Linked DNA regions of Caenorhabditis elegans. The protein of the gene in region 1 interacts with the protein of each later gene in a pairwise test. Each region holds a gene or a part of one and is shown in the gene's direction. Other genes may lie near its edges.

Region 1 (2,898 bases):
ATTCTAATCCAATATGGATTTTCTAATCAAATATGGTTGAAATCTAATCAAATATGGCTGAGATCGTGCCATATTGGATTAGATTTCGACCATATTGGATTAGATTTGTTTTCTAATGAAATATGGAGGGAATCTAATCTAACATGGATTTCTAATCTAATATGGAGCAAATATAATGCAATATGGATTTTCTAAACAAATATGGTTGAAATCTAATTAGACTACTAAGCGTTTGTCTGAGTGCTACTGAAATTGTGATCTAGTTTTCTAAAATTATAACAAAGCAAATATTCATTTCAAAAACTGATACAATTTTTTTCATGTTTCAGGCAAGCTAAGAACGGCGTGGTTCAAGCAAGCATTAAACCAGGGAATCGATTAAATATCAAAGACATTTCAAAATCCACGGATACTGTGAGATCTCATCGAGAAGAATCATCTAGAAGCCATGAAACAATTGGACAGGTTAGTTATTAATTAAGAACAAAAATTATAAATATGGATTTCAGTATGAAGAACGAATAACCGGTGTGTCAAATGCTTCCAATAATAATTCAAGATCCGGTGCAGCTACTGGAATTGCACAGAGATTTAGAGATGAAGAAGCTGCGAAAAATGTAAGAAACTTTTTTGAAAATTAAACGGTTTTGTTGATTTTTATTTTTAGAAACGGCTGGACACCATATCCGAGATAGCAATGTCAAATGATTCATTGCAAAGGAATGACTCAAAGGTACATAATCTATTAATATTGAACTCTAACACGCTTTGAAAATTAGTATTTCAGTCTCTTTTAGTCTTGCGCTTTTTTTTGGATTTCAAATTCAACAATTAAAAATTTTAAGAAACCACTTTTCGTGAAAGTTGAAAATCACTATTTCTAAATAATAATAAAAACTTGTAGTCTCCGTTAGTATTGCGCTTACATAAATTTAGTAGAGTTTGAAATCAATGTAATCTATGAAATCAAATAATGGAATTATTTCAACACCACATTTCGCAAAATAATAATTGTTTTCAGACAAACGTATTCAATAACATTGATGGTTCACGAAAAACAATATCCCCGATGGAAGTTGATCTGAATCCGGGTTTGAGCAGTTCGATCAATTTGGAAAAAATATGATTATCACTAGCTATCACCATGTCTAAAACTATATCATTTTTGAAATCGATATCATGATGGAAAAACGGAAGATCTCTTGTTTCTTGAAAAATAAAGTTATTTCCTAATATATTTTTAGCTTCAAAATATATATAGTAATTGTCACAAAGGCAGACTCTGATTTAATAAAATATGTGAAACCAGGTGTGGGCGGCGATTGAAAATTTTTGGCAATTGTCAGTTGTTGTAAGTTTTCATATCCAAACGATTATTTTGAAATTTTCAAATATCACATTGCATTCAATAATTATCTGGCAAATCCCAAAAATTATGTTCATGACTATTAGAAAAGATATAAGTATCTCGTCATTGGAAACCAGACATTTTTCCATCTCATCTTACAGTAATTCCAATTACACTTTTGCATCTTACGTACAATTTAGTAGAAACCCAGCGCAAAACGAAATGCGATATCATGTGAGAACAAACATAATACAAACAAATACATATCGGTGAGTCTCCAAGAAGTTCAAGCTTTTCCCAGTCTGTTTGCTTTTTGGGCCTTCAAAACTTTTTTTACTTTTTTGCGCAAGCATGGTCGTTGAGAAGTGTTAGGACACTCCTTTTTTCCACTCCTTCTTCATCCAAAATGAATGACAAAACTCTTGAGGAATTCACTTTGAGCGTCCACCACTTTCCAGACACTTTCACACATTTTTAATTTGTTTTCATGTCTTTTTTCTTTACTTAAATCTTCATTTTAAAGATTTAATTATACTTTAAAAATAATAGTTCATAGTTGCAATGTTGGATCACAATAGACTGGAAGAATTTATCGAACAAATTCGTCTTACTCCAGCAATATGGAAAAATCGAGAATTTGATATATCTCGTGAGCATATGAATGAAATTTGGGCTCATTTCGGGCACACTTTTGATATTTCTCGTGAGTTTTGCACATATATGAAAATAATATCCAACAGATTTTTAGCAAAGGAAGCTGAAATGCAATGGGAATATCTCATTCGGCTTCATCGATTTATGAATAGAAATGCAAGTTTAGAGGTGAGCAGAACAATTTAAATTTCAAGAAATAAATTTCAAACGAAATGTTTATTTTCAGCAATTTCGAATTGAAGTTCCTTCCCTAGAAGATGATTTTACACCGGCAGATACTCTTGTTGCTGAATCACTTGCTATTTTCTTGAAACCAACATTAGATGAACTTTTATTGATATCGAAACCATCAGAAACTTCCGTCTGAAACTGCAATAAATATTTTTTGTTTTTTTTAAATATTTAATATTGCTAAACGATATTTTGAAACTTACAAATGTAGTGATAAAGTGAGTTTTCAAATCCAATCATTGCCAGGAAAAAGGTTTTTTTTAATTTTGGGGAAAGAAAATAATAAACTAATAAGTTCTGAAAGTAGATTTTCTGGAAAAATGTTTTCTCAATTTATATCGGCCTGCTAATGTAAGCCATCCAAACAGCGCTAAATTCACCAAAATTCCTTATGATTATTTTTGTACAGTTTTTACGCGGGTATTTGCAACTCATTACTTTGGAAATCGGTCAAAAAATTGTTCCACTAAAAATAATATTAATAATATATGTTGATTATGTTTTTAAATGCCCGGGGAGATGATCGATAATGCGACAAAAGACTGTAATTCTAAAGAAACACACATTTTTAAAAATTGGAATTTTGCCAAAGCTTTCATTCAGAAATTTATAATTATGATTGATTTTCAAATGTGCTATTCAGCAATGTTGAACTATTATTCGTC
Region 2 (7,648 bases), on another chromosome or scaffold:
AGTTTTAGTAAGTAATATTTTTGCAATTTTGGTATAATTTCGGCAGTTTTTGTTCCTTACAATTAGCAGCAATGCAGTTAATTTTTGGCATTTTAAGTGCAATTTTAGTGCTTTTTTTGGCAATTTTTGTAACTTTTTGACAATTTCTGGTGCATTTTTAGCACCATCGTAATCTTAGACAATTTTCAGTAACTTAAAAAATATTTCGGAGAATTAAAACGCTTTTTAATGTGGATTTTGAAAGTTTCCTACAAACACTGAAATTTGGCATTTTTGGAATATACCAACTAATAAGAAAAATTGACACTACCTCTCCTACGACACTTCTGCCTATTCCCCCTATTAATTAACTGTTCATATTCCCAGATCATTATAATCCCATTCCTTCCCCTCTCTTGCATACTTTTGTAGTATTGTCCTTGTTTCTCCTCTTCAATCTCCCGTCCTTCATCCGGGGAGGATATGTCCTACTTTTTCGAGAATTAGAGAGAGACGGAAACTGGTAATTTTAATGTGCTCGGTAGTGGTGGTGGGTTGTTGGAAGTTAACTATTTGAATGGTTTAAGTTTTTATGGATTAGTCGAAGTGTAGGTTATTGTCAACTTATAATATTAGTTGGTAAATGCCAAAACTACGCGTTTTGTGTTTTTTTTCTTATGTAGATTTGTGTTGAGCAAAAGGTGTTGTCAATTTACGTAAGTAATTTTATTGACACCCTTCTAGCTGGTAGCAATCAAATAAGGGGTCTTGGCAAGTACCTAATCATATACCAATTGACCCATATGTCACCATGAAATATTACTCTCTCTCTCTCTCTCTCTCTCTCTTTCTCTTCAACTAATCTACTAACTAATCCAGTTAATCTATAGGAGTTTGATTAGTATTTTTTGTTTTTGTTCACTCTACTTTACTTTTATTCTAAAAAAATCATTAATTTGATATTTTGACATTTACCAATAAATATTAATATTTCAAGCTGACAATTTCTCTAAATCTAGTTCTAGAAGTCATTACTAATTATTATCATAAGTTAAGAGTGCATCTGTTTTTTTTTGAAGTTTTGATAATCTCATATTATAGTACAAGTTGCAATTATCTCTAGGTCCAATGAAGATTTTTGTAGCATTTTCCGGCATTTTTCAAGGTATAAGAGGTGAAAATCAGATTAACTTTTCGACATTTTTGAATTTTTGTTGAAATTTCTGGTGTTCACTACAGAATATCATAAGTTGACCACTATGTCTACAGATCAGTTTTTGAAAATTATCAACTATACCCTATACCCTTTGCATACCCCTGAACCCAATTTTCTCACGTAAATCTACATAAAAAGAGACACTCAATGCTCCAAATGTTTGCTCTTCCTCCCTTCATTTCATTGTGCTCTCCTGTTACGGATGGGGTGCTCTTGTGCTCATCCACTGGCTCAACCGAAGGGGAAGCTCCAGATGACATGTCAATTTTGTTTCCGTCAGGCCGAGAGCCGCTTTTCCTTGATTTATGGGTTTTTGAGGAAGGAGCCCGGGTGCCGAGAAATGAATAGATTGGATTTGACTTTTAGCCCTCTTTACTTTACGTTAACAATTTACTCTATTTTTCTAATACACTTTTTTCAGAATATTCCCCTCACCAATCAAATGCTCAAGTAATGCGCCAACCATTAAGCCACGGAGCCCATGGTGCTCCGTTGGATGGAGCACCCAGAAATGTGGCAATGAGCAAGTTTTTGGAATGGTTTCAGCAGGCAAATTCTAGACGGCTGGAAATTATTGGAAAAGAGCATTCCGGAAAAACTTGGTTTGCACGGAAAGTGAGTTTTGAATAAAAATTAGGCTTAGGCCTAGCATAGGCTTACTATTAGACTTAGACTCAGGCTTAGGCTTAGGCTTTTTAGGCATAGGCTCGATTTTTTGAATGTTCGAGAAAATGCCCAAAATTGCTACGAAAATTTTTTTCTCGAAATTTACTGAAAATTTTACTTTCGTTTTTCTCAAAACCAAATTATGCTCTGTTGTTTAACCAGTATTGTCCGGTAAATCGTAGTTGCAAAATGATGCCTTGAGGCCTATTGAATGACCCTTGAAAAGGCGATGGAGCATGTGTCAAGGAGTGAGAAGTATTAATGCACATATGGGTACTTGAGAGAGAGGAGCATTATGGCTAGGGAGTTTGGGGGAGTATCGTGTGGTACAGGGAGCCCATAGAATGTCGGCTGCTCTAGAAATTCGCATAATAAAATGTTTTACTTTTTTTTTTCGAGCGGCCGACATCCTGCAGGCCAGGAATTCATTAGACTCAATGAGAGTCCCGTAAGATGTTAGCTGCTAGTTACCATAAGATTAATTATCCACCTGCTTTACAGTAGATCTACAGTACCCCTACCTCACTTCAATAATCCTACAACACCTAATTCCAGCTCTCCGAAGTGTCCGAATGCGTTGCCTCACACTTCTGCAGTCACGACGAGCCTCAATCCTCGGAGCCCCCTACCGTAATCCGATCTCTCGGAGAGCAACTGATGCGTCGATTCCCTAATCTCGTCTTACCCCGCTTAACTACAGTAACCCTTCTAGAGGATACGGTATCCGCTCTCGACCATTTTCTGCGTCTTCCCCTCGAGACCATGCCTTCCACATCGAAGCCAGTTTTCTTGGTGATAGATAGTGTGGAGGACGAGGAGACGCAGGTGCTGGTGGAGATGCTCGTTGAGATTCTGCCACCATGGATTCAAATTGTGACCACGTCACGAGACCGGACCAATTCTGAAACTGAGCTCCTCGAGCTCCATATCGACTCGGACTTTGACAAATTCATTCGCTTGAAACTCCCGCACTGCCACGTGGAAGAGGTCCGTGAAGCGTCAGACGGTTCGTGGTTCTACGTGGAGCAACTGGCGAGAGCTGTGGAACTTGGCATGGTGCCAAGTGATATGGTACCGCCGATTGGGGTAGAGAAGATGATGCACTTAGTGGCGAGAAGTCTACCGAGGAGTTTTGCGGATATTGTTCGACTGGCTAAGGTGAATTTTTAGATTGGATTATAAAAAAATATTACATTAATATATCTTAAAATTTTCCAGACCAGCCGTAACCGACCGACACGCCAGCAGCTGCTCGCCGTTTCCCAGATGCTCGTTTCCCGAGATATATCAGTTCTGGAAAAGGACATTCGCATTATCACTTCTCTTATCGGAACAGCTTCATCTGAAAATCCATCTGAAATATTCCACGTGCCGGATATCTGGTTCCAGTTGATCGGCGAGGAAAACTTCCGTTGTCATACTGCGTGGGCAGAGCACTATAAGACGAAAAGACGAAAGAGTGCTCAGGATATTTGTGAGCTCGCTTATCACCTTTCTCACTCTACAACAAATCCTTTGAATGCTGTGAAGACTCTGCAAAGCGTCGGAGCCGGGAATTTAGTTCTCCGGTGCCATGTTATCGATCTACCAACGACGGCACTTTTAAAATCAGCTGGAGCAAGAATGGAGGAAAATAATTATGACGTAGTGTATGCTTGTTCTGTTGGAGATGTCAGCTACCTGGATGCAATTCTTCGGGAGATGAAGCCGGTGCCTATGGTAAGATTTTTTTTTATTTCTGGCAGCCGACGTAATACAATATTTTTGGATTTTGCGCCAAAATTTTATGAAAAAATAATTTTTCCCTGCTGAAAAATGTTTAAAAAATTGAATTTCGCACCAAATTAGTTTTTAAATTTAAAAATTTCGCGGTAAAATTAAAGCTTGAATTTGATTTTCGCGTCGTAGCTTCTTAAAAAATAACCTTGAATTTGCGACCGAAAAATTTTGAAAAAAAAGCTGGTAGAAGTTCAACCTTTGTTCAGTGAAAAGTGAAAAGTAATAGCAGCCGACGTCTCACGGGTTGAACCCCCTCAACCATTTTGGTTGGCGAGGTCCCGTTAGTTGTCGGTTGCGATGATATGTTTCGAAATGTTTTCGAAATATCGCAGCCGACAACAAACGGGTTGGAGTCTCATTTGACCCGTACAATGTCGGTTGCTCTACTAAATCTAATCCTAATATTTTCAATCAATTTATCTTCCAGGACATCTGCTTCGGCCTGCTCACCGCCGCGGCCAGAGGAAACATTGAAATGTGCAGATTTCTGGCCGATCACTTCCCCCATCTCGTCGCTTCCTCCTGCTGCGGAGAATGGAATGCATTGAGAAGTGCCGCCTGTTACGGACAACTCGAGATCCTTCACCTTCTTCTAGAGAAAGGTGTCGACGTTGATGAATGTGGTCACAGTGATCGAACGGCTCTCCGAGCAGCCGCCTGGTCTGGCCAGCTCGCCGCAGTTCAGCTTCTCCTGCAAACCGGCGCTGAAGTTGATCGGAGGGATTCTGAGCAGCGAACCGCACTGATGGCAGCAGCATTCATGTGTCATAAGGATGTGGTGTCAGTTATTATTCAGTATGGAGCTGATGTAAATGCCATCGACAAATCCGGAGCCACCGCGTTGCACTTGAATCTTTCAAATGGCTCGAAACAAGAAGAAAACTCTGAAACAACAAAATTGCTGTTAGAACGTAAGGATTTTTAGCCTCGTCCCATTTTTTCTTTTTCAAAAAAAAATTTGACGGGAATTTCTAATTTTTAAAGATTTTTTCTATCGGGAATCAACAATTGTTTTTGGAAAAAGAGAAGTTCAAATTTTTGAGATACTATAGCGGAAAATTGAAATTTGTGGTCAAAAATTTTCCGGAAAATTATAATTTTTTAACAAAATTTTTGGCGGGGAATTCAAATTTTTTGAGAAAAAAATTGGGGGAAATTCAAATTTACGGAGAAAAATTTTCCTGAAAATTCCAGTATTTAAACATAATTTTTGGCGAGGAATTCCAATTTTAGAGAACATATTTGGGGGAAATCCAATTTTTCCCAGAACAAGTTTTGCGAAAAGTTCAAATCATTGAGATATTTTAGCGGATAATTGAAATTTTTTGGTCCAAAATTTTTATAGGAAATTTGGGAGTTTTCAGGATGTTCCAAAAACTTAAAAAAAAAATATTTTTTACAATCTACAATAAAATCTTACAGACAACGCGGACTGTAAAATTGAAGATGCCAACGGCCGCGTGGCCCTGCACCTGGCCGCCTACCACGGGGACCCCTGCCTCCAATTGATTCTTGAGAAGCACCCCATAGTTGACGTCATGGATAATATGGGACAAACTCCATTGATGTTAGCTGCTAGTCAAGGTCAATTGGAAGCTGTTCAGTTTTTGACAAAAACCGCCAAAGCAGACGTAGATGCTATCGATAACAATGGGCGAACTGCTCTTCAATGGGCGGCTATTAATGGTCACCCGGAGGTGGTAGAGTTCTTGTGCTCAGTTGGATCGGATGAGGGACATAAGGATAATGATGGTGCAGTGGCTCTACACTATGCTGTTACCCATGATCATGTGGAGCTGGTAAAGCATTTGACGAATCAGCATACGGTAGAGGCAAAGGATCGATATGGACAACATCCGATGATGATTGCGGCGGCTAATGGAAATTTGAAGGTAGGAAAATCGAATAAAATTGTTTATAGAAAATTCAAAAATTTAAAAAAAATTGCAATTTTGGGGGCCAAGTTCAAAATATTAAAAAAAAAATTAAAATCAAAGTTCCAGAAAACTTGTAAAAATTAGGTTCGAAAAAGTTTTTTATTTTTCGAATTTATGCTCGATAAAACGATAAAATGCTGCAATTTATTTTCAAAAAAAAACACATTCTAAAATTAATCCAAAAAATTTGGCGCGGAATTAAAAACTATAATAAAACTTGTTGCAAAAATTTGAACATGTTAAAAAATATTCTAAGAAATTCAAAAAATTGTTTATAGCTTTCGAAAGCACGTGGTGTCAGGCTGTCCCATTACGGTTTGATCTACAAAAAGGCGGGAATTTTTCGCCCTAAAAATGTGACGTCAGCACGTTCTTAACCATGCGAAATCAGTTGAGAACTCTGCGTCTCGTCTCCCGCATTTTTTTGTAGATCTACGTAGATCAAGCCGAAATAAGGCCTCTTGCTCTGTAAGGTCACCAAACAACAATGTATCTTTTCAGGTCCTGGAGTACCTAATGGGGATCTCCGACATAATCAACCAACCTGACCACGAAGGTCGCACTGCCTTATCCCTCGCCTCAATGGCAGCTCATACCTCAATAATCGACTTGATATCCCCTCGCATCACTGATTGGAGCCAACGGGACCACGATGGCACCCCACTAGCCCACACCCTAATCCTCTCCAATCTGATCTTCGTGGCCGAGGTTTATCTAGGCCATGGTGCCAACTCATCCGACTCGGATGCTCATGGCCGAACTTGTGTACACGTGGTCGCTTCGACGAATGACGTGGCGGCAGCGAAAATGCTGAAGAGGATTGGTGGAGTAAATTTTGAGGCAGTTGATAGAGGTGGGCGTACAGCTTTGATGACTGCAGTTTGGGCGAAACACGTGGCGATTTCGGTGTTCTTGTTGGATAGTTGTGGAGTTGACCCGAATCGAACGGATCGACAGGTATGTTAACTCACTAGTCCTACAGTACCCTAAACTACAGTAGTCTTAACCTACTGGCCGTAGTTCTACAGTAACCCTAAGATATCGTAACCCATAAACTATAGTTTGCTTAGCCTAAAACAATCATGTCCAACTAAATAAGGATCATGTATACAATACCAGTATCCTACCATATTATCACAGAGTCGCTAGAGTATAGTATCCTCTGCTTACTGCAATCCTTCAGTACCCCTGAGCTACAGTAGCCATTATTGTATAACAGAACTGCTAGAAAATAGTAACCTTAATCCTACAGTAGCCTAAGGTACTGTTACCAACAGTAAACCTATCATTCTAGATAAGATACAGTACCAATTTCCAGGGTGCCACTGCTCTCTCCATTGCCGCGCAAATCGGCGACCGCGATCTTGTCAACCTGCTCCTCAAATTTGGCGCCGAACCAGAGATCAAAGACTCTATGGGACGAACCGCCATGGATGTGGCCATGATTTCTGGCAACGAGCCAATAGTTTCTCTGCTCCAATCTGTAAATGGCTCATCCGGATCATCTGGAATTGGCTCAAGTGTCCCCAATAGCCCACTCGACGCCAGTAAACAGCGTATCCTGAAAGCCACATCATCACTGAGAATGCCTCATAGAATTGATAATAATAATCATTGATCTCATATTTTCTTTGCTGAAAAAATAGTTTTTTTTTGGAATTTGATCTTTATTAACCGGTGCTTTTTTGTATGTCATTAACTCGGTCACAGTTTTTTTTCGAATTTTTACCCAAAATCTTTCTCATATTGTCAGTATTATTATTGAAAATTAATAATAAACATTCACTGAAAGCTAAAAAAAAAGTAACATTTTCAATTCTCGCAATTTGCCGATTTGCCGGAAATTTCAATTTCGGCAATTTGTCGAAAATTTCAATTCCCACAATTTGCCGCTTGGCCGGAAATTTTCAATTCTGGCAATTTGCCGGTTTGCCGTTCCTCAACAAGAAACCTGACTCTATCCAATTTCCTCCAAAACTACAACCAACGGTCACTCCCATTAAGAAACCCCATTCAGACCGTTAGTTTCAATAAACCTGCGACCAAAAAATGAAAAACCGTAACCGGTTTC
Region 3 (6,514 bases), on another chromosome or scaffold:
TTTCATAAACTTGTTCCGATGAACCAAGGTTTAATGCCAGCTGGGAATGATATTTACAGAAAAGATAACACTTTGCGCTTTACAACACTGACCACGCTAGATGACCAAACAACCTTGAGAATAGAACGTTGAAAACGGAAAGGATCAAGTAGATTCAGTGATATGAGAATGAGGAGTGTGTGTCTTGAATAGGTGGTAATAAATTGAACGGAAAATGTTTTGATATCAAATAAAAACAAAATAGTATCAATTCTCAAGGATTAAACGTAAGCGACCAAAGATCAAAAGTGCACAACGAGCGGGGAACGGTCATCGAACCAATGAGTAATTGTAAATCGAGTGGACAAGAGAGCGGGTGTCCTCGTACACGGGGTTTCCCCGCCTGAACAGAGAGTGAGAGAAGATGCAGGAGAGAGGCCATCATTCATTATGCAGAGAGTGAGAATGAGACCCAGTTGTCGTCGTCGACGGGACCGATATTTCGTTGACAAAACACAGGCGGTGCGTGCAGACCGAAAGGGCCATCGGAAAATCCTGTCAGTCGATGTTTGAGGGCTCTATGACGTGGCAATCCTGATCAATATGGATATACCGGGTTATGAATATTGGAACAGCTTAGAAAAATTTGAGAAGTTTATATTAATTCACTCATGTTCACGACCTTGAAACATTTTTGAAAACGCCATTTTTCAGATACCTAAGTCCACTCTGTTGTATCTATGTACAAAGCCAACTTGTTATTTTACTGTTAGCAAAACAGTTAACTTACAATTTTTCCTATTTCTTTGGTGTAACTATCTAGTCTATGATATAGTCTATAGTCTATTTAGATTTGTGTCGCTTTTTGATCGTAGATCGTAAAAATCCATGAATTTTTTTTGAACAGAAATGATATTCGGTCATTAGCACCATAAAAATTTTAATATTTTCCCAACTAGCAAGCAGCGAAACTCAACTATAAAACCCTAAATTTTCTATATAAAAAATTAGATGAAAAAAAATTCAGATATGTTTCAAATACAAATAATTTTCAAAAAGCTTCCAGAAGCTTCCTTCCTCTTGACAACTTTGAAACCATTAAAAAATGTTTTTTTTTACGAAAATCCACTTTTGGAAATATTCCTTCGGCCTCCAATCTAGTGAAATAATACTTTCAGATTGAAAGTCAAGGGTTCAGAGTTGAGATAAATTTTTTTATGATGACCTAGTCCGAATTTAGTTTTAGAATGACCTACTACGTCTTGTTTTGAAGTCTCATAGTGATACTGTTTTGGCCCAATAGTTGTAACCTTGATTAAAATTCTACGTTTACCAATTAATTTTTCTGACTGTGATTTTTATCATAGAGTTTTAAGTTATTACAATATGGTTCTGTATTATGAGACAATGCTTATAAAATAGTTCGTTATAATTCTCAAAAAAATTATCTGTACCACAAATTCCTTGACTAAATTATAGTTGGTATTTAGTTGTGATACTATTTAGATAAACTATTTTGATATTCAAAAACTATCAACGTACTACAGCTGAATAACTGAAAACAAAAACACGCGGTAAACACCCATTTTCAGTTAGTTCCGCCTTGATAAATATAAAATCAATAGTCTATCAAACTAAACTATTCAAATGAATAAGTGCTCCTTTGTGCTGTGTCCGTGCCAGTCTCCCTGGCCACCGTAATCTTTTCAACGCCGCTTGCCGCAATTTCTCTATCTTTCGAATTTCTTTCAACTATTGCCATTTTATGTTTTGTTTATCTGTTGGAAAAAGGAATATATATGTTGACTTTTGGGAAGAAAACTGAAAAAAATTGAGTGTGTCAGCAAAAAAACCCCAGTGTCGTCAGTTTGTGAGATTATTGTGTTACGGTAGCCGGCCAACGTCAAGGCTGTCTGTTTATTTAGAAAAGCGAAAAAATGCAAATTTCATCGACATCTCGACCAGTTTGGGAAAATCAAAGTAAACTTGGACACGTCATATATCGACTGTATTCTGTTAGCAGCTGTCAATCAAGGTATATCTAAATCATTCCAAGAATACAATTGTTTCGAATGCAATCGAAAAATAATTTTATTTAATGTTTAGCAGAAATTCATTTAAAACTCTATAAAATTACTTTGTTAAAACAGAAAATCCGTAACTACTTTTGAAATTGGAACTTCAAATTTAGTTCTGAGTAATCCCACATATGCATATAAATATTTGCCTGCTTACAAGACAAAAAATCTATAACCCGTCTGGAAGAATGACCTACGCCTGATCTGTTATAATCGTGAAATAATTAGAATACGGTACCGGGTCTTGACAGGGCACTTTTTGTTAAGTGAAAATAGGTGTGCGTATTTAAAGATTACTGTAATTTCAAACTCTCGTTTGTCTGGAATTTTTTGGTAAAAATGTATTTATTTAAAACTAAAATAAAACAATCAAAAACATACATTTTAACAAACCGTGCAAAAAACTTAAAATTGATGAAAATTCCGCAGCAACGAAAGTTTGAAGTACTTTAAAGGAGCACATCTTCTTGCATTCAATAAAACTTCGTCGTGTCGAGACCAGGAACCGTATTTTTGACGCAAAATTTCGCGTCTGTGTTACATTATTCGTCAGGGAATTTAAAAGAATTCAATGGAGTTGGTTCAACGAAAATTAGCTTACATTTACGGTTCAAATATTTAATTACTCTCTTCCTGCAAACTATTTCAGACAAAAACCACTACTGTCAATAGTTCTAGATAAAAAAGGCTAGTCATAAAATAGGGTTTCAGTGGCCATAGAAACTTTAAAAAACACATGTAAAATCGTAATACACATTAAAATAAATGAGGTGAGAAGTGTAGGAGGGTCGAACAGTGGAAACTATGCTGATGAAGTCTTATCAGTGATCGATGGACGGTTTCAACGAAATGGAAACGCGCTTTTCCTTTTTGCTGATAACCAGAACATGGACATTGAAACTTTTGAGCGTGAGAATCTTCTAGACAAAACAATATTCTTGCAGAGTGTCGGGGAAAATGTAAGAACGAACAACAATTTATTGAGCAGAATAGTCCCATGACGAATCAATATTGCAACGTTTTATGATTGTTTCCTTTATAACACCGTGGGACACTTGACGGAAAACAACTTTAGAACGTTTATAAATGTCTTTATTGCAATTTCCAATACCATTTCAGCCATTTTTCAGTTTTATAATTGTTTCAAACTTAGTTTAAAAACAATGTTATGCTATGTATTTTATGGATAATTTTCGGCCTACAGTAGTGCGCAGCAAACGCGCCCTTTCGGACTAATTATTTCGCGGCATCAATAAGAATTTAAATATAGCGCTCTTTTTTGTTACGAATTTCAAGGTTTCTCACAAATAAATGTTAAGTTTTGCATGAAAGAAGTTTAAAAAAAATGCAATTTTCTACTTTTAAAATTTGTTCTCACTACTTTTTCGAATAAAATGCACCTTTGTCCAATTTTCCCGTGTGCTTTGCATGTGTCTTACCAGCTTTTAACCACAAAAACGTCCATCATGTCCTCAGGTCAAAAATGAGTTCGTCTCGTCACTTCAGTATCCCATATGACGAAGATGTTGTTCATTCAGTAATTTTGGAAAACACACCGTCGCCGCCGCCTAAACCTCCGAGAGGGATATTACGAAAAGAAGCTCCAATGAAGCCACAGCGAAGCGCGTTGAAAATCGAACCAGCTCGTGACGGTTTGTTTCAGTCAGTATAAAAAATTTCAATATTTTTTCTTCAGATGATAAGGAAAACAATAGTCAGCCTCAAGCACGATCCCAGTTCAAAGCAAAAGACACGATGGAACAAATGCAATCATATTTCAAAAGAAGCATATCCGTGCTCAGAAAATCTGAAGAACACTTCACAGGAGCCGAAGCTGCAGATATTCTTACAGCATATATCGAAACACATCGCAACGAGTTTCCACGCGACAATATCGGAAGAAGCAACGCTGTAAAACTGCTTGAAATTTGGTTAGAGTCGAATACTATTCAAAGTGTAGAATCTCATCAGAAGAAATTTGTTGATTCTGAACGTACATTTTACAGGCTTGGAGGAGATTCTGAATCGTGAGCAAACTTTTTATCTCGAATGATATTAAATTACTTGTTTTTATTTTTAGATTATATATTGTGAATACTCCGATCGCTTCAAGAAATCATGACGATTCTGCATCAGTTTCGCGATCAGAAAGCAGCCGTCGCAGTAACAGTATCAAGAGATTATTTTCTCCATTCGTTCGCCGGAATAGATCCAATTCTCGAGGTCGGGACAAAGACAAAGATAATTTAAAAGATGGAAGCTCGACAAATTTGAAATCGACGTGGAGTCTGTTCTCGTCTTCTTCAGAAAAGAATGAGAAAAAACTCAAAAAAGCAGAACAACAGTTGATAAAAGAGGAAGAAGCGGAAGTCTATGAATTGTCTCTCTTCCATTTACTCAGCTTGATTGACGTTGAGTTTCTCGAAGATGTTGCTCTTCCGGTACAAGATTCAAAGGTATTAAATACAAATATTTGATCATAAACTTACATAATTTCATTTCAGAACAATGCATCATTTTTATCATCCATTCTGGGAAAAGTTGGACTGGGTGCAAGTGAAGAAAGGCTTGACCCGCACCAGGAAGACCATATGGATTTGTTAATCGAAACACATCCATTGATCCGGGATGCAAGTCAATGGTTTCAGATGGCTCGTTGCTGTGCTCCATTACTTTATTTTGAGGCGAAACCTGTCGCAAGTAATCATAAAACAAGCCATAACGAACAATTATACCTTTGGTGTCGAGCAGCATTGGATGCAGTGAAAAACCGTCTTGAGAAGATGACACAGAACGGATCATCACCGTTGTTCCCATCAGAATTCGCTCCTCTTCTTACAAAGATTGCCCAGCAGTTGATTAACGATATGGATTCTGGTGAAAAATTGTCGACGGCAGTCATGTACATCTTCTTGATGGTTCCTCATCCTATACGCAAGACGATCGACCAACTTGTGCAGTGGCTACAACTTACTATGCGAACGGATGCAGTGGAAGATCTTAGAAGTCCATATTATTTGGGGAAAAAGGATCCACGGAGATACAAAGAGAATGTGAATGTCATAATTGGAGAGCTGTCTTCTTTTATTTTCCCGAGAGGATGTATGACAAATGTTCAACAAGACATTTTCATCGAGGTTTGTTACAGAAATTTTAAAACCTGAAAAACAGAGATTTTGGCTATTTTTAATTATCTGGAATTTTTAATCTTTTCAGACCCTCGTTGAACTGCGACAAAAAGGAAAACTAGGTCAACGCCCGGCACAATTGGAAAGCTCTCTTCGAGCAAAGTCAGTAAATGGACAAATTAAATGGCAACGAAAAGAGAGAAAGTATAGTAATTCACAAATTAATATTGTTTTGTTCGGAATGCTTCTCTCTGTTTTGCATGCCTTTTTTTCCTGTTTGAAATTGTATTTTTTAGCAATTAAACATAATTTTTCAGACACAATTCGCTTGAAGGTGACCTGACACCAGTGAGATATACAGTTCGAAGAGAATCAATTCGTTCAAAAACTTCGAAAAGTAAAGATGGACTGAATGAGACTGACTCAGCACTGGTAACCATGATCAATGTGAGTTTATGAATAGTTTGGTTCCTGTAATAATTTTATTGCTTTCAGTCAGTTATCGACAACAAGGAATTGTCGCTGACAGAAAAGAAGAAACAATTGATGAACTTCAAGAAATTCTACCCGAAATTGTACAACGACTTTTTCCCAGGAATGATATAAAGCAACTCGAAATTTTATAATCCCTAAATGTCTGTAATTTAATTGTTTTAGCTTCGGAATGATCTAGATTCGATTGATTTTATGCATACAAAAATGTCATATGCCGAATGCATCTACTGTACCATCTCGCTTTTACCACCACCCAATATCTCAATCGGGTCTTTACTTTCAGTAGAAAGTTGATTTTTTTCTGTTTTTCCTTTAATGAAATCTTTTGATTTACAGTTTTTTCTACATTCAGGTCGAAACGGAAACAATGCCATAATTGGCATTAGCATCCGATTTACAAACACTTACCGTACAATTGTTTTTTGATAGTCTAGAACATTGCAAAAAAGTTCCAATTTAGCAACAATTAACTTTTCGCTTGACTTCTTGAAGACACCTACCGTATAGTCTTCCGTATACGAGTTGCCATCGTGAATTTACGTCACTTTTTCTACTTTTCTCATCACAATAGCGGCTTCATCTTATTCTTCCGTCCTTCAAACTGTTTTTTTTCTGGCCAGAAAACTATTGCGCAGTAGTAAATCGGATAATCGAGTTGCATTCGTCAGTTTCTCGAAAATGAAGAAGCTGCGGCCGGAGAAGTTTGACGGACTGACAGACGGACGAATGGCGCCGAAGTCGACGACGACGGACACCTATTATTCAGCCGCACTTTAATAGGACACGCAACAGCACGAAGCGGTTTGCCACTGTCTTCAACCGATCCGCCCTCTC
Region 4 (6,155 bases), on another chromosome or scaffold:
GCTTTAATAATATACCCAAGATATTCAGATAAATTCATTGAAAAAATACTTCAACACTCAAAAAATGAGCTTCAAGAGTACAATTGATTCTTATTTGGGAATGCAAGGAATGGATACAAGCAAGATTTGGTTGCAGATAAGAAATATTATTGGAGAGGTAATATTTAGAACTCTCAACTAATCTCTGTGATGCATATTTTCTAGATATTCAAAGGAGACGATCAAAAAATTTTGCACACTTTTTCTGAACTTCATTATCTTTTTTCAGGTCTTCCGAACACAGCAAACAAAAATGCTAATGAGTCTTCAAAACTTGAAATTAAATCCACAATACTTTGAATTAAGCAGATTTGATTTTGTGGTCGATGATCAATTGAACGTTTTTCTTATGGAGGTATGCATTTATTTTTCAGAATCATTAAAATTTACAAGACATCTTTGCAGGCGAATATGTCTCCTAATCTCTCTTCAGGTCATTTTAAACAAAATCAAATACTTTATGAACAAGTTCTAATGAACATTTTCTCTCTAACTGGAATTTCAACACCAATTACAAAAGAAGCTGACATCTTGTTCAAGTTCGTTTATTCCATTTGAAGCTGTCCACAAATTAGATTTCCCGTTCTAGATCACGTACATCCGAACAAAATCCTCTTGTTAACTCCCGAGACATCAATCTTCCGCTGAAATTTTGTGTTGAAAATAAATGTGAATCATGTGATGAGGCTCCAGAATGCCAGCTATGCGGACACTGTATGAATACAGAAACAAGGAAAATACTGGAGCAGACTTTTGTGGAAAATTCGAACAGGAAGCAGATGAAACGAATTCAGTTCGACTATGAAAATCATCATCCATTAACAAAAGAAGATCATCTTCTCACATTATGGTTAAGCACCAAATGTCAATTGGATAATACGTGGTGTTAAAGTAGCGTGCTGTACATTTTATTATTGTATTGGCCAAAACTATGACGGTCCCGGTTTTTTCAAAAAATACTTAGAAATTTTCAAATGCAACTTTCTGGGAGTTTTTAAGACAATCTTGCATAGCGGGTTTTGAGATTGAAGTTTTTTTGAAAGTTTCTCTTGATCTCATTATTTTATTCAGTAAAAATTGGTCACCAACTGAACGTTATCTTACTGTTTTTGAAAAATAAATTGAATATATCGGATATAAGTAATCAATTTTAATTTTCAAATAAATCATTCCGTTTTTGTTTTTCAATTTTGTTTTTGAAACAATCTTTTCGATGAAAAAAGATATTATGTGATGCAAATAAGTACCTGAATATGCTTGAAACGTAATACGCGTGAAATTTAGATAAAATTTGAGACAATAAAATCTCATTCCTTTTTTCTAACTACATCAGCAGGTGATTAAATAATATAATAAAAGTTTCTCCAAGATCCAAAACCCAAGTAAATGCATTTGATTTTCAGCTGGTGGTTTTATGTTGGCAAAGTTCAAGTTTCTCATATTTTTGGTTAACGGATACAGTCTGCTAAGCCACTTAATATATTAGCATTTTGAAATTCAAATGGAAAATAGATTTCACATTTGTATTTTTTAATTGTTAGTGGCATACGGTACTTATAGAAAGTCTACCTTTCAAATTTGAAAAGGCGCCAATAATTGCAACGAATATGCGCCCCATTGTTAATATGAAGACGCGCGCCGAACACGCGACGCAGACAACGGCACTCGTTTTACTCGCTCTTCCCTTTTCTTCCTCGTGCCTCGGGGCTGCGTCCACCTAATCGAATCAGTTTTTCATCAGTCTCGTACGACTTGATGCTACTTTTATTTTATCAGCTCATCTATATTGATTACAGCCCTAATAAGCAGTTTCAATTTTGCCACAAACTTCTCGTCCTCTATTGCAATTAAACTTTTTGAAAATCTTCTTATACACGTTTCGTAATTTTTTTCAACTGTTCTTTCCAGCTTTTGCACTTGCTTCATTAACGTAAATTACTCGAAATAAGATCGGATTCGAGTAGTTTACAATGGAGGACGCCAGTCAATTGTCAAACTCACAAAATGACAAAGCAAAGGACGAAACGGTAAGTTGAGTTGGAATTCAGCTTCTGTAAAAATCGAAAACTTTACAGACTCGTCCTCAGTATACAATGTCGGGTATTTTGCACTTTATACAACACGAATGGACAAAAAATGAGTTAGATCGAACTAGGTGGGAAGCAGAGAGAGCCGAAATGCAGGTGAGTAAATATTTTTTCTACGATTGTAATGTGAAATTTTTGTAGGCTCGTATTGCTTTCCTACAAGGAGAAAGAAAAGGTCAAGAAAATTTGAAACAAGATCTTGTCCGTCGTATCAAAATGCTCGAATTCTGCCTGAAACAAGAACGTGCCAAAAATTATCGACTAACCCACAACGGCGAAGAACCACCATCACTGGAAGAATCTCCAAATGAAAATTCAGCGCCAAGCGGTAATTTCTATGAAGACGTTCCGATCGAAAATATATATTTCAGAAAACAGCCATTTGACGGCCGACCTTGATGCATACATAAATGATGCTGGTGAAGCTGGAGGTAGTTTCAGGCAGGGACGCCTTCTTCTCAAACGTTATCTGGAAGAAATTGGATACAGCGAGCACATCATGGATGTTCGATCCTTCCGTGTAAAAAATCTTCTCGGATTATTACCCCAAGTATGAAAATTCAATAGTTTGAAAAAAAAACCAATCTGTTTTGAACTTCCAGGCTGATCTTCCATCCAGTGAACGTCTCAATGGTAGAAAAGAGAAAAGTGACAGGTACTTATTCACTACTTTCTTTTTGAACACATAGCAATCGTTCTAAGTAATTACAGTGATTCCGATGACGGACATGATGATGCAGCCTTGGATGCTGACGCCTCAAAGGCGTTTGAAGAGTTTGATTTTCTAAACAATATGGATGCGAAAGAAAAAGGTTCTGACGATGACTGGGCAGGAAAAGGAGCTTCATTCGAAAAACTGATAAAACAATACAAGGACGATCCAAAAGTGAAGCGGCGTTCAAGGACGTCAACTGAAGAATCCGAAGAGAAAACAAGCAACGATGTTCAGAAAAATCTAGAGACTGATGTTCCACCAGGAATTCGATCAGCTATCGATGCCGCTGCACAAGAAGAACTTCCAGTTCGGCGACAAGGTAGACGTAGTGCTAATTTTGGATATGGTAACGGAAATGAGTTGGACGTTGCTCTTGGAATGCAAGATAATGATAATATGGACATTAAGGACGAGTTCAAAGATGAAGTGAGTTTTTCAGTTTTAAAAATAAAAGAAAAATAATTGTCAAATTCAGGATGATGATCCGAATGCACAACAAGTGAAGTGGAATATCAAAGTTACTCTACGATCTCACCTTGATTCGATTCGCGCGATGCAATTCCATCCAGTTGAGCCCGTACTATTTACTGCTTCGGAAGACGGTCTGATCAAATTATGGAATCTCGATCAAAAGAAAGATGAGAAACACAACAGTGGTGGTACCGAGCTTGAGCCAGTTTATACATTCCGGGGACACAAAGGCCCTGTTCTATGCTTAGTCCTGTCGCCAACTGGAGATCATCTCTACACCGGAGGTATCGATGGAAACATCTGCTGTTTCAATGTACCATCTTCAAACGGGGATCCATTTGATTCTTATGGTAAGATTTATTTCTTAATTAAAATGAGCTGTCAAAAACTAATTAATCACAATTTGCTTCATTTTGTGCAAAATCGTTTGGAAAAAAAAGATTATGCATTGAAATTAGTATCGTCCTTTCGCAGAAACGGGACACTAGATGCATAATATTTTATGAAGAATTTGGACTTTCTCAGTGCAATTTTAGAAGTTTAGTTTTCTCTCAAAATCAATTTTCTAATAAAAGTGAATCATTCGTAGCTACCACTATGACTGAAATCGTTATGAGACCCACTCGGAAAACGATGCGTGCCTTTAAGCTAACAACAAAATTTCGCCAAATTATGATAACATGTTCAAATATCAAAGTATCAGTTACCTTTTGCGATACAGATTCAAACGATTCAACGCTATTTTTAGTTTAAATTTTCGCCAAACAATAAGACTAAAGTTAATTTAATAATTAGTTCAAATTTAAGGTTATGTTATTTATTATAGATCCACGAGTCCTAACTGAAACACTTACTGGACATACGGATGCAATTTGGTCGGTGGCTTATCATTCATCAAACAGTCGCCTTGTTTCTGCCAGTTCTGATTCAACGGTTCGTCTATGGGAACCAGGAAATGGTGAACCACTTATCAGAACTATTGGTGCCCCAAAATCCGGAATACTTCCGACATCAGTTGATTTTGTATCTACGGAAACATCACATTTACTTGCTGCATACACAAATTGCTATGCTCAAATTATTGATATCGATACTGGAAGCACTGTCATGGTGTTCGATTTCGGAGCGGTTACAGGTTCACCAACAATGAACAAAATTGTTAGTCATCCAACAATGCCTCTCACACTTATTGGCGGTGAAGATCGGACGATTCGGTACTTTGACAACACCAACGGATCGATAATTCATGAAGCTATCGCACATGTTGAGGGAGTTTCTTCTCTTGCTATTGATCCAAATGGTCTTTATCTTTTGTCTGGAAGTCATGATGGTAGTATCAGGATGTGGAATATGGAGAAACGTTCATGCCTTCAGGTATATTTTTTTATAAATTAAGAAACTGTACAAATGTAGTATTTTTCAGGAAATTTCTGCCCACCGGAAAAAGAATGATTCAGCAGTTACCTCCGTTGCTTTCCATCCTTCAAGATCTCTTATAGGATCTGCCGGTGCCGATTCTCTTGCCAAGGTGTACGTGTCAGGAAGCAACTAGAGTATCCCATTCATTTTTTTATTATTATTTCCCTATTTTCATATTTCGCCAATTTAACTTAAAGTATAATAGGAATTCGCCAGTTCGTCTCCCAGTTCATGCCCAAATCCACGCCTACATACCTTCATTTTTATTACTACAACAGTACCCTTTATTTTATTGTAGATAACCAACAACCATTTTTATTCAAATCTAAACGTAATTTATCTGTCCCCTCCTTCCCTCGATTGATTTCTTTTTAAATATGAAATTTGATCACGGGTCGAAAATGAGCATTTTGACACTTGTCAACCTAATCTGCAATCCTGTAAATATTACGTCGCAGTTAGCTCAAATTAACCATCTTCTGAAGTGGTTGCAGTGGTTATTTGGGCGAACAATTTTTTATATTTTCTATGGCAGTAATGTGAAACAACACCGATACAAATCGGGTTAAAACAATCTATAGGATATTGATTGATTAGCTCATCTTTAAACTGCACAAATTTCGACTCGTGTTCCTATTTCTCTTAGATACCCTTTCTGCGCCATGTTTTGTTCTCTCGGCATTGTTTCCATTCTCAAAACGCTTAGTTTTAATCAATAACCAGATATCCTCGAGAATCCAAATTCAGACCGTAAGTTCTCATCATTTTCCTCTACTTCATCCTCGTCTCTCTTTACCATTATTATCTGTTATTCTTTGTTTCTATCTCGGTCGACTGACAGTGTTTCAACTATGTCTTGAACTGTATCATAAATTACTGAGAATTCTAGTTTGATTTTTTGCACGAATACAGAATTTTTCACTTCTACCATTTCAGTGTTGGGCAATTGGGCAATTATCAAACGAAAATTAATGATTTCTTGAATTTTATAAATTGAGTACCGTAACCAGAAAAAAAAAACCATTTAAAACCATCTATTGATCCAATAGTCGATGAGGAATGGCAATATCTACTTTTGCTGGAAACTATGTGACCTGAATGAACATTTTCTACGTCAGACCAAACGCTGAATGGGAAGATTAAGGTATATCTATAAGCTCGATTCCAAATTGAAGAACCCAATAGATATAAATCAATCTAAAATTTTAAAGACAAAGAAAAAAAGTGAATAATAAAATATGCTAACTAACTAAATCTCGTGTCATTGTTTTATTCAATTGTTTTCTGTTCTCAAGAATCAAACTGATTAAGGATTATGTTGAAGAGAAGTTGGAAAAAAAATGTCGCCAAGTTATTTTATGTTTGACTTTTTCGCTTTTGGTTTTCGTTTTAGAAATATTTATGAATATTACGTCATAAAGCCA

What was found.
Region 2: the proteins of F13H10.1 (region 1) and T28D6.4 interact in a two-hybrid assay, tested with the Caenorhabditis elegans proteins (one large-scale study listed by BioGRID).
Region 3: the proteins of F13H10.1 (region 1) and toe-2 interact in a two-hybrid assay, tested with the Caenorhabditis elegans proteins (one large-scale study listed by BioGRID).
Region 4: the proteins of F13H10.1 (region 1) and cash-1 interact in a two-hybrid assay, tested with the Caenorhabditis elegans proteins (one large-scale study listed by BioGRID).

The regions. Positions count from the first base shown.
Region 1 is NC_003282.8:11,002,676-11,005,573, forward strand, and holds F13H10.1 (MADF domain-containing protein), read left to right. Parts: upstream 1-1,897; 5' UTR 1,898-1,909; coding exon 1,910-2,051; intron 2,052-2,096; coding exon 2,097-2,170; intron 2,171-2,228; coding exon 2,229-2,369; 3' UTR 2,370-2,394; downstream 2,395-2,898. Other genes in the region: F13H10.9 (uncharacterized protein), read left to right, coding at 330-465, 510-617, 668-733, 1,022-1,126.
Region 2 is NC_003281.10:11,358,840-11,366,487, forward strand, and holds T28D6.4 (Nephrocystin 3-like N-terminal domain-containing protein), read left to right. Parts: upstream 1-1,616; 5' UTR 1,617-1,648; coding exon 1,649-1,810; intron 1,811-2,416; coding exon 2,417-3,019; intron 3,020-3,079; coding exon 3,080-3,580; intron 3,581-3,724; exon of another isoform or gene 3,725-3,947; intron 3,948-4,067; coding exon 4,068-4,551; intron 4,552-5,062; coding exon 5,063-5,532; intron 5,533-6,078; coding exon 6,079-6,534; intron 6,535-6,895; coding exon 6,896-7,195; 3' UTR 7,196-7,359; downstream 7,360-7,648.
Region 3 is NC_003280.10:6,516,688-6,523,201, reverse strand, and holds toe-2 (Target of ERK kinase mpk-1), read left to right. Parts: upstream 1-1,826; 5' UTR 1,827-2,014; intron 2,015-3,533; 5' UTR 3,534-3,540; coding exon 3,541-3,709; intron 3,710-3,753; coding exon 3,754-4,084; intron 4,085-4,137; coding exon 4,138-4,513; intron 4,514-4,561; coding exon 4,562-5,194; intron 5,195-5,273; coding exon 5,274-5,389; intron 5,390-5,502; coding exon 5,503-5,632; intron 5,633-5,680; coding exon 5,681-5,791; 3' UTR 5,792-6,014; downstream 6,015-6,514. Other genes in the region: C56E6.7 (uncharacterized protein), read right to left, coding at 6,345-6,514.
Region 4 is NC_003283.11:10,360,316-10,366,470, forward strand, and holds cash-1 (Striatin N-terminal domain-containing protein), read left to right. Parts: upstream 1-1,945; 5' UTR 1,946-2,009; coding exon 2,010-2,066; intron 2,067-2,114; coding exon 2,115-2,222; intron 2,223-2,267; coding exon 2,268-2,454; intron 2,455-2,497; coding exon 2,498-2,676; intron 2,677-2,728; coding exon 2,729-2,781; intron 2,782-2,828; coding exon 2,829-3,267; intron 3,268-3,316; coding exon 3,317-3,662; intron 3,663-4,138; coding exon 4,139-4,686; intron 4,687-4,735; coding exon 4,736-4,864; 3' UTR 4,865-5,619; downstream 5,620-6,155. Other genes in the region: putative tubulin polyglutamylase ttll-15, read left to right, coding at 29-157, 269-394, 445-578, 629-929.